2 linked regions of the Drosophila melanogaster genome follow. The protein of the gene in region 2 purifies or fractionates together with the protein of the main gene of each other region. This does not show direct contact. Each region holds a gene or a part of one and is shown on either strand. Other genes may lie near its edges.

What was found.
Region 1: the proteins of Rab2 (region 2) and GCC88 purify together in Drosophila melanogaster (affinity purification with western blotting, with the first as the bait; one study listed by BioGRID). This does not show direct contact.

The regions. Positions count from the first base shown.
Region 1 is NT_033777.3:11,227,446-11,232,634, forward strand, and holds GCC88 (GRIP and coiled-coil domain containing 88 kDa), read right to left. Parts: upstream 3,156-5,189; 5' UTR 3,005-3,155; coding exon 2,923-3,004; intron 2,870-2,922; coding exon 1,045-2,869; intron 977-1,044; coding exon 796-976; 3' UTR 726-795; downstream 1-725. Other genes in the region: CG17726 (uncharacterized protein), read left to right, coding at 1-725; CG17187 (uncharacterized protein), read right to left, coding at 3,364-4,263; Dph3 (diphthamide biosynthesis 3), read left to right, coding at 4,572-4,679, 4,749-4,823, 4,896-4,973.
Region 2 is NT_033778.4:6,694,648-6,700,041, reverse strand, and holds Rab2 (Rab2), read right to left. Parts: upstream 3,304-5,394; 5' UTR 3,159-3,303; coding exon 3,113-3,158; intron 2,627-3,112; coding exon 2,467-2,626; intron 1,994-2,466; coding exon 1,657-1,993; intron 1,597-1,656; coding exon 1,498-1,596; 3' UTR 573-1,497; downstream 1-572. Other genes in the region: Mob4 (MOB kinase activator 4), read left to right, coding at 3,643-3,702, 3,777-4,150, 4,199-4,448; CG3270 (uncharacterized protein), read right to left, coding at 4,971-5,394. UniProt on the Drosophila melanogaster protein: May be involved in bidirectional endoplasmic reticulum (ER) to Golgi trafficking. Together with Rab7 involved in promoting fusion of autophagosomes and endosomes with lysosomes, probably through recruitment of the HOPS tethering complex.

The sequences.
Region 1 (5,189 bases), on a different chromosome or scaffold from region 2:
CCAGTGGAACGAAGGCATTCTGGCACCGTCGGCTAGAGGATGTGCCCCAGGGATTCTCCCTAGTTCTCGCCCACGAGTTCTTCGACGCCCTGCCTGTGCACAAGCTCCAACTCGTAGATGGCAAGTGGCAGGAGGTGCTCATCGATGTGGCATCCTCTGATGGCGCACAAGAAGCTAGCTTCCGATATGTGCTCTCACGTAGCCAAACACCCGTTTCGAGTCTTTATCGACCGCTGCCCGGCGAGACACGATCCTGTTTGGAGCACTCCCTGGAGACGGAACGACAGGTGGGACTGCTCGCCGAGCGCATCGAACGGGATGGCGGCATCGCTCTAATCATGGATTATGGCCATTTTGGCGAGAAAACCGACACTTTCCGGGCCTTCAAGCAGCACAAGCTGCACGATCCGCTGGTGGAGCCGGGCAGTGCTGATCTCACGGCCGATGTGGACTTCAAGCTAGTGCGGCACATTGCCGAGACACGCGGAAATGTCCACTGCTGCGGTCCCGTGGAGCAGGGACTGTTCCTGCAGCGAATGCAGGGTGAGGCTCGACTGGAGCAACTGTTGGCACATGCGCTGCCCGAAAACCAGGAGATCATTCGCTCCGGCTACGAGATGCTCACGGATCCAGCCCAGATGGGCACTCGCTTTAAGTTCCTGGCCATGTTTCCCGGCGTGCTAGCTGCCCACCTAGACAAATACCCAGTCGTCGGATTTAGTTAGTTATCTATTTAGGATCTGTTTGTAGGGTTTTAAATATGTTGCACATGATTGTTGAACAAAAGTACGAATGTTATTTCTTCTGGAATGATGCATTGATCGCCTGCATCTCTGCGGCGGTGAACTGGAGCACCGCCGAGATGGCGTTCAGCATGTGACGCTTGCCGTCCGCGTCCCGGGTAACAATGTAGCTGATAATAACGTTCTTCAGGTACTCCAGATTGGCACCCTCGCGCGTCTTGCAACGTTCGAGTCTAGAATGGGAGTAGAGATCGTGGCATGACTTTCTAAGACAACAACGATAACAACGACAACGACGCACCTGTCCACCTGCTCCTTGAGGCACTCGATCTTCTCGTGCATTTCCTGCTGAGATGTCACCTTGTCCTGGATCGCCTTTCGCAGCGTCGACTCGGCGGCGTATTTGGCTTTCCGCAGTGTCGTGATTTCGATGTCCTTGCGCGCCAACTCGTTGGCATAGTGCAGCATGTGGCAGTTCTCGCCCATCGACATTTTCTTGGAGCGCACCTTTAGCTTTCTTTCCCGCTGCTCCCCCTCCACGCTGTCGGTGTCGGAGGAATAGTGAAAGGAATCGGCAGCTGCTTCAAGTGTGGGTGTGGCCAGTGTGCTGCCCACACCGCTGGCCGAGTGAAAGACCTCGAAGGAGGTCTGCAGTGTCTTAATCTCCTGCTCCTTCTCATCCAGCAGCTGCAGTGACCTCTGGCGCTGCTTCTGCAGTAGCTGTTCCAGCTCGTTCAGTTTGCAGCGCGTCTCGTTCTCCAGTTCAGCCTTGGCTTCCTGCCACTTGGTTCGTTCGTTCTTCAATGCCAGGCGCAGCTTTTCGCCCTGCTGCTTTAGTTCGACTTCCGCCTCGTCGATGTTGCGATTGAGCACCTGCACCTTCTCCTGCAGCGTTTGGATGTGCGAGTGCTGCAGCTGCACCTTCTGTTCGAGTAGCTGTCGCTGCTGCTTGGATGCCTCGAGCATTTGCTGCACACCCTGAAGCTGTTGCTCGCAGTGGGCGTGACTCTCGACTCGGGTAGCTGTTTGGCCGCTAAATGATAGGATCTCCCCGAGATCCAGTGGATTGGCAGAACGGGCATTGGCTGTGGTAAGCAGTTTCTTCAAGCGCACCATCTCGTCAACCAGCGTGGCTACGTCCACATCTTCGTTTAGCGCCCTTGAATTGGATGTTGGACGCACATGTGCCTGCTCTAGATCCTGCAGCTGCTGCTTCAAATCATGGATGCTGTCCTGATCTTGCTGACGCAGGCGGTCGTAGCTGCCGACAGTGGTGCTGAGCTCCGCCAGGCGTGCCTCTAGACTGGCCACGCGATCCTCGTGCAGCGCCGCCTGCCTGCGACTCTGTTCCTCGGCACGCAGCACGCGACGCTGTTCCTGACGAATGGCCACTGCATGCTGCTCCTTCAGTTGCTGCATCTCAAGGCGCACTTGCTGAAGGAGAGCGGCGCTGTCCGCACTCGCTGACGCTGCTGCAGAGTGCTCGGTCTTGGCCTGGAACTGTTTCAGCTGGGAGCGAGCCTCCTTTAGCTGGGATTGCAATTCCCGTAGCCGGCTATTCTCTGCCTCGTTGCTGGCGAACTGGGTCTTGAAGTTGTTTAACTGCATCTCAATGTTGTCCTTTAGATGCCGCTCGTCCGCATAGAGTTTCTGCAGTTCGCGGATCATGAGCATTTGGTTGTTGGTCTCTTTCTCGCGCTCCTGTCGCTCCACGATCCACTTGGCCTTGATCTCGTCCACGTCGCTTTTGGCCCGAGCAGCCTGCTCCTTGGCCCGGGTATTAAGCTCCTGAATGGTCTGCTCCTTTTGGGCGATTTGGCTGCGCAGTTGCTTTTTATCCGCCTGAAAGGAGGCCTCCATGCGGGATTTCTCAGCGGAAAGAGTGGCCAGCGAGTTCATCAGGGTGATAATTTGGGTCTGCAGTTGACCCTCGGCCGGGGGAGCAGGCGGACCCGGTGCAGCGCCCTCGGTTGCTCCATCCGCAGAGTCGGTGCTGGTTTTTTTGGACTCCAACTCCCTGGCCGGCGATCCGGACTCGCCCACCGCCGTGGCCTCCGCATGCGCCGCCAGACTCGTCTCCAATGCCTCCTTCTCCTTAAGCAGACCCTTGTAGGCAGTGACCACGTCTACAAATTGGGCTCATTAATCCATTTGCATTGCGAATTCATCTATGTCTCACCTTTTAGACGCTTTTCATAGCGCCCCAGTTGCTCCTTTTGGGTGGACACCAGCGCCTCCAGCTCCCTCTGTCGCTTCTCCATTTCGCCTTGAAAGGGAATTAGTTCATTTACTTTCAGTTCGCTTAGTAGTTCAATTTATTTATCTCCCGTGTCATTTTTGCATTTCTTTTAATTAACAAATTTCAGCAGCTGGCACGCGGGCCTGCCAACTTGTCATGTTTGCTCAGGCACTAAAAATTGCCATCATTCTGATTTAAACTTTTTTTTATTTTTGCGGTTTTTCAAAAAATAATTAATAACCAAATTTACATAAATTAAAAACTATTTTAAATGTAAATGTATTATAAATCAGCTGCATAGTTGCTAAATTGAGATATTTTCAAACATTAATATTAGTCCAATTAAAGTAAATTAAATGTTGAGCCTAACTAAATCTTATTTCATTCGCCCTCCTCGTCCTTCATCATCTGCTCAATGAGTCTCTTACGTTCCTCAGCTTGGCGCAGCTTTCGCATGACCAGGTCCTCGTAGTCGGTGGATGACGCACTGCACCCAGTGGTGGCCGATTTGGTTGTCTGCTTGTCTGCCGCCGGCGGCGTTACCCACTCGAAGTGCAGCGGCTTGGCGGGATCGCCTTTTTCGTAGGCCAAGACCATGTCGCAGGCTTCGCGCGTGGCCAGCTCCACCATGGCGCGTCCGCGTCGCTTGCTGTTGACCACCAGGGCCACCACGTCGCCGTACTTCTTCAGATACTTGAGCAGCTCTTGCTGTGTGTAATCCTGGCCAGGTTCGGCCTTCCACTTCATCTTGATGCGATGCTGGGCGGAATCAAACTGGACCGGCTGTTGCTGCAGTTTCTGTTGCTCCGCGTGATTCCGCCGGAACTGCTCCTGCATGGCTCGCTGCTCCTCCTCCAGCAGACGGGAGCCCTCGCGTCGCAACCGCTCGATCTGCTCATGCAGCACCTCCTCGTCGCTTTTGGCCACCGTGCTGTAGGGTTGGCTCTTCGCCAGTTTGTGCAGTGCCGCCCGTTCACGTTCCTCCAGTTCCAGCTTCAGCTTCTGCCGCTTCCCGTCCAGTTGGCGACTCCTCAGCTCCGCCGCCTTCTTGGCCTTCAGCACTTTGTCATAAGCTGCGCGCGCGGATTCATCCGTGAGGATCTCCAGAGCCTTGGACAACTCATGGAAGCGCTCGACTGCCTTCGGATTGTCCGGATTCTTGTCGGGATGGCACTCGAGGGCCTTCTTGCGGTACGCCTTGCGTATCTCATTTTGATCAGACTCGAGAGAAATGCCCAGAAGATCGTAAAGATTCACGTCACTGTACTTTTTGCTAGCCATTTAGTCTTATTTTACTCCTTATTCAACAACTGGAACATGGGTTTGTTTTGCAGTTTGTCTTTTTTGGGCAAAAGTTAGCTAAAATATACTATTTTATACGAGACTTATTTCACAACTGCAGCCGGCGGTCCAAAAATGTCCAAATAAAACATTTGCAATTGTTTACTGGATCAGCTGTTCGCTGCAACGAGTTGGCAGCCCCGCAACACAACGTGCCCATTTGTTTGGCGTGGATTAATCTAAGTTATCGCAAAAAAAACTCAAATATAATATGACCTTTAGGCGCTGAATTAAGCTGAAGGTACGTCATGAGCATCTATCACGACGAGGTGGAGATCGAGGACTTCGAGTACGACGAGGAGGAGGAGATGTACTACTATCCCTGTCCATGCGGCGATCGATTTCAGATCTCCAAGGTAACGAGTCGTATACGCAACCTTTTTTTTTCTGGACTCCCCATATCACTTGGTAAATTTCCACTTTAGGAGGAGCTAATCGAGGGCGAGGAGGTGGCCACCTGTCCCAGCTGCTCCCTAGTCATCAAGGTCATATACGATCCGGTAAGTGACTCATTCAGAAATACACCTAGAACTCCCCAGAAAACTCAAGCAATCTGATTTTCCGAATTTCAGGAGATGTTCAAAGCTGAGGAGGATGAAGAAAGTGCGCTGAACGAGAAGCTCGGCGACCTGAAGCTCGAGAAGAACTAACACACAGTTTGGTGTAATTAAATAGTTTTTATTTATATATTTTTATATATATATAGACTTCATTTTAGTGTAAATAATACGATGACTAGTAAAACAATGATTTCAAATTATGCAAGCTCGCAAAAACAGTTTCGATTCGTTATGGATTATTCGTTTTGGGTGAATTACAAAGGATTTATACACACATTCTAGAATATCTAAAACTAAAACACTCAT
Region 2 (5,394 bases):
GCAAACTTTTTCTTAGACAAAACACAGATAAGATTCAGAAAATAAGAAACAAACCTATGTAATATCTTAAAAGTTCAAGTATTATTAAAAAAAAATACAAAAATATTTCTAAATAGTATATTTCAGTAGTAAAAAAATGTTTTAACATGTAAGCACATTTAAAAAAATTAAGTAAATGCGACACTATATCCCTATAGCCGACATAGAAAGTGGAAATTGTTAATTCCGAACACTTTAGGAAATATGTACATAAACAAAAAAGGATTCACCATTTAATAATATTTACAAGACATTAATTCAACAATTATCTACCGAAAGCCTCTTACTAAATAAAAAGGGTTAAAACTACACTAATGCGTAATTATTTGTCTGACCTCTTTTCATTTAAAAGTTGAGTTGTTTACAACTTTAAATGCCTCATTAAATTTGCCTTAGTGTTTTACTTCTCATCTAGACACCAAAAAACTAATTAGTCGTTAACTATCACTTGATTAAACGCTAATGAACCCAAGGTAAGTACCGATTTAATTTATATAATTATATTAATAGTAAGTATGTATATTTATTATTCCGCATTGTGTTGGGCAAATACAAATATTATAAATAATTTGATTTACGTTTACAGTTGTATCTTTCGTTTTGTCTTAGCAATCGCCGTTAATTAAATATATAAACTTCGTAAAATACTAAATTGATCATTGAATCGCAGCATTTCGTGTTACCACTGGTTAATGCATGTTGATTGTGTAAATTATATAACCCCATTTCGGCCCTCACGTTTTGTATATTTTGTTAAAGTACTTTTTTTCTAGTGTATGTATAAAGACTAAGCGGATTGCACAACAAAATAGACAAAGCAAATGCGTTGAGAAGGAAACGTAAACATATTAATATATTTAATTATGTATGTGTGTATAGAGAAGCGGAGCAGATACCCATTGCAAAAGGGGGCGTGGCGCAGCGTTGCGAAGCTGGACCTCACTGAAATCGAATCACAATGAAAATTCACACAGTTTGATTTTTGTTCATATATTACACATCATTTTGTCAAAATCCCAATGTATAACTATCGATTTTACACGAAGTAACTAGCAAACTAACTTCAATATACACAAAATACATGCATAAAACATTTAAAAATGTTTCAATAAACTTTATAAAATTTAGAAATCACGCACGACATTCACGTACACAAATGTGGTTTGTTTTGGTTTATTTCTGGTTACTTCTTCCTTTTGGTTTTTTTTGGTAAAATAAAACGTAGCTGAACAAGGAGATGTGTTTCTTGTAACTGTCTGATCTTAATGGTTTTAACATTTAGCTTAGTGTCCAATTGCTAGATTAGTGGTAGCTATGTTTACGTGGTTAGTTACGGTTGAGATAGAAAACAAGAAATCTGTTCCTTCAACTACCTTCTATTAGTTAGTCACTAAAGTAGCTTTTACAGAAGCGGCTGCGCCTATCCCAGAATTGCAATCGGGCATCTGCGGTTTACTCCTAGCAGCAGCCACTGTTTGCTGCTCCAGCTGCTCCTCCGGCTCCTGGGAGCGACGGGTTTGTGGGGGAGTGCTGTTGGCCGATCTTAATGCCGTTTGCCTAGTAACGAGATAATAATGTAGTGGCAAGAAGTTTCTAAGTTAAATGTATCCTTCTTACCTCATTGTTGATGTCGAAGACACCTTCCTGGATCTTCTCGTAAATCTCTTTGGCCGTATTTATGAACGCCTCCTCTACGTTGGCAGCTGTGCGCGCAGAAGTCTCCATGAAGACCAGTCCGTGCTCGCGGGCGAAGGCCTCGCCCTCCTCTTTCTTCACCTCACGCCGCGAATCCAAATCGCTCTTGTTGCCTATCAGCATAATGACCATGTTCGAGTTCGAGTGCTGACGCGCATCCTCCAGCCAGGTGGTCAGGTGGTTGAAGGTCTCCCGTCGCGTGATGTCGTACACCAGCAAGGCGCCAGCAGCTCCGCGGTAATAAGAGCGTGTGATAGATCTATTCAAGAAATATTTTGCGTCACAATACAGTTATATAAATGACAGTGCTTATATTATTTAATTATTAGTAACCCATTAAATTTCTGTCTGACGACTTCTATTTAATTTTAAGTAAAGTATAAAAAATTTATATCACAAAAAATTAAAAATGATAGAATTAAAACTTTTTTAAATAAACATCTATCAACAATGTGCCGAAATGAAGCAAATAAAATTTTTTGAATACAAATTATTAAGCCTTTTTACTAAAGGCTCTATATATATATATTATTATTATTTTGGATCATTAAGTAAGAATTTTATTCAAATTATTTTATTTAATATAAAAAACGAGCCGAATTATTATCCGCCTTGGACTTGGGGTTTTGGATACGAAATTTGCAAAAATTTATTCAGTTCAATTTTGGAAGTAATCTGAGCTTTCACTTATCCCTTCTTAAGTATTAACACTAAATGAACAGAAGTGGGTACCTGAAAGCCTCCTGCCCAGCCGTGTCCCAGATTTGAAGCTTGATCTGCTTGCCGTCGATGGTGATCATGCGTGCTCCGAACTCCACGCCAATGGTCAGGTCGTGCACCGGCTGGAATCGCTTGTCCGTGAACTGGAGCAGCAGACAGGACTTGCCCACGCCTGCGGAAACGGAAAAGGGTTAGTGGGCGAGCGGGGAAAAGGTGGGACAGGCTGGAAAATGCCAACAGCTGTTGGACATCCCGAAAAGCAGAGTGCTGATAAGCCCGTGGCTCTTTGGGGCGGAATCCCTCAATTACTGGGGGTGGTTGGGTGAGTCAGCAGCAGGGTTTATGTGTGGGCTGCTCCCCGCGCACCACTAACTCTGAGAGCAGCAAACGCCTGTATGCGTTGTTATGGTATTATTGATTTTTCCTTCGGCCCACCGACTCCAGGAATATTTTCCTGCCGACGCAATTTTGATCTCACGGTATCAATTTTTCACTTGAGACCACCTGAAACCCCCATTTTTTGATTTTCGGGTACGACCCCTACGCCTGCGATGCCCTTTGTTTTGTTGTGTTGTTTGCAATTACAGATTGTTTCCCTGACAATGGCCAACTTTTCACTGGCCATTCCGTTTCAAAGGAAGTCGCAGCTTGCACTCACCTGTGTCTCCGATAATGATGTATTTGAACAAGTACGCGTAGGACATGTTTTAAGCTGACGGGGGTTACGGTAAGCTAGTTTTTAGAAAGTACGATCTCGTAATGCCACAGATAATACGCAATTCTTGTACGTTTTCCAATCTGTTCGTATTTATGATGACTGGCTAGCGACAGTGTGGCCACTTTGTGGCCAGGGCTGGCGGAAATACCGAAATACCGCAAGGCTGCAATCGCCCTATCGATAACGATGCGCACTGCCGCTGGCCAATCGATAGGTATATGTATGTATGTAGAATTTGTCAGAAATTTTCTCGCACAAAGCAAAGTGTTTTGGAGGATAAACGCCAATTAATTGTCAAGCGATGTGCCAGCTCCTGTAGAATACACTCAGCATACTACGGTGCAGGGATCCCACATCCGGAGACTCCCGCGGGGCAGGGACCAGGCTAGCATTCAGTTTCTGCCAGTGATTTTCTCATCAAGGCGTAGGCACAGACGTTGTGGATCATCGCGTCTTCGAGCGGGTGAAACATGAAGATGGCTGACGGCTCGACCATATTGCGTAGGAACCGGCCAGGCACAAAATCCAAGGTGAGCGATGACATGGCGTCCGAACAACGATCCCGGCCCGGCCCGTCTGACCCGTTTTCCGTTTCGCCTTTCAGGACTTCTGTCGCTGGCCCGACGAGCCCCTGGAGGAGATGGACAGCACGCTGGCGGTGCAGCAGTACATACAGCAGCTGATTAAGCGCGACCCGAGCAACGTGGAACTCATACTGACCATGCCCGAAGCCCAGGATGAGGGCGTGTGGAAGTACGAGCACCTGCGCCAGTTCTGCATGGAGCTGAACGGCCTGGCAGTGCGGCTGCAGAAGGAGTGCTCGCCGTCGACGTGCACCCAGATGACAGCCACTGACCAGTGGATATTCCTGTGCGCCGCGCACAAGACGCCCAAGGAATGTCCGGCCATTGACTACACACGCCACACGCTGGACGGTGCCGCCTGTCTGCTAAACAGCAACAAGTACTTCCCTAGCAGGTATGCAGGCTTAGCGACATGGTTGAACTAGCCACATAATAAGCAAAGTGTCTCTCCCAGGGTGTCCATCAAGGAGTCGTCGGTAACCAAGCTGGGCTCCGTATGTCGGCGGGTGTATCGCATCTTCTCGCACGCCTACTTTCACCATCGTCGCATTTTCGACGAATTCGAGGCCGAGACGTATCTGTGCCACCGTTTCACGCATTTCGTCACAAAATATAATCTGATGTCGAAGGAGAATCTGATCGTGCCCATCAACGTGGGTGAAAACGCGGCCCCTGGCGAAAGCGAGGCTTAGGAGCCCGCCCAGATTAGTCAGACTCGCATGAAACACTCATTCAACATACATCTATTTATATTTACCAATAGCTTGCAAGTTGGGTTGGCTCACCCTGACAGGGAAACGATTCCACGCGGACCCGACTCTAATGCAGATCTTGTATGTAGTTTAGATGTCAGATACACATAGAGCTACATAACGATAACTAAGTAACAAGGGCAGACCCCCTCAAACCCGCTCGCCCCATCTGATCCTAAGTCAGCAATTATTTCGCAAGTTATATTACGATTATGTTTAACTCCTTATTTTAATAAATTATATGTAGGCACACGACCTTCTCGTGGCTGATTCCACGTCAAATCCCCGTAAACTAAACTAAATTCCCTTGACTACTGGCAGCCAAAACACCAACACAGCTGTACGTGACTAAAACGTGAACTTTACTATACAAAATTACTATATACACAACAGAAATTGCAATAAAAGAAGTACATACATAAACACACCAAGGGCAAGTACGATCCTCCTGTGATAAATTTGTCAAACGATATTCACTTCGTGCATAGGCTGTTGGTTTACAAGGCGTTCGAAGCCGAGGCGCGACAGATCCAGTGTGGTAAACTTGCCGTCCAAGATTAGTTCGGAAATGGCTCGACCCACGGCGGGAGTCTGCTGAATGCCGTGCCCACTGAAGCCTGCGGCAATGAAGAGATTGCTGTAGTGAGGATGCCTGCCGATGACGCCGTTTGCGTCAAATGTGTTGTGGTCATAGAAGCCCGCCCAGCTGCTCTGTATCTTCACAGACTCAAAAGCAGGAACTCGGTTCGCCAGTGTGGGCCAGACATCCGTTTCAAAGTACCCGTGGTCCACGTCCAGCGTTTCGCACTCCGGCTCCTCGTCTTCGTTTGGACTGCGGCCGCACAGGAAGTTGCCGCAAAGACCGTCCCGCCTGAAGTAGGTGCCA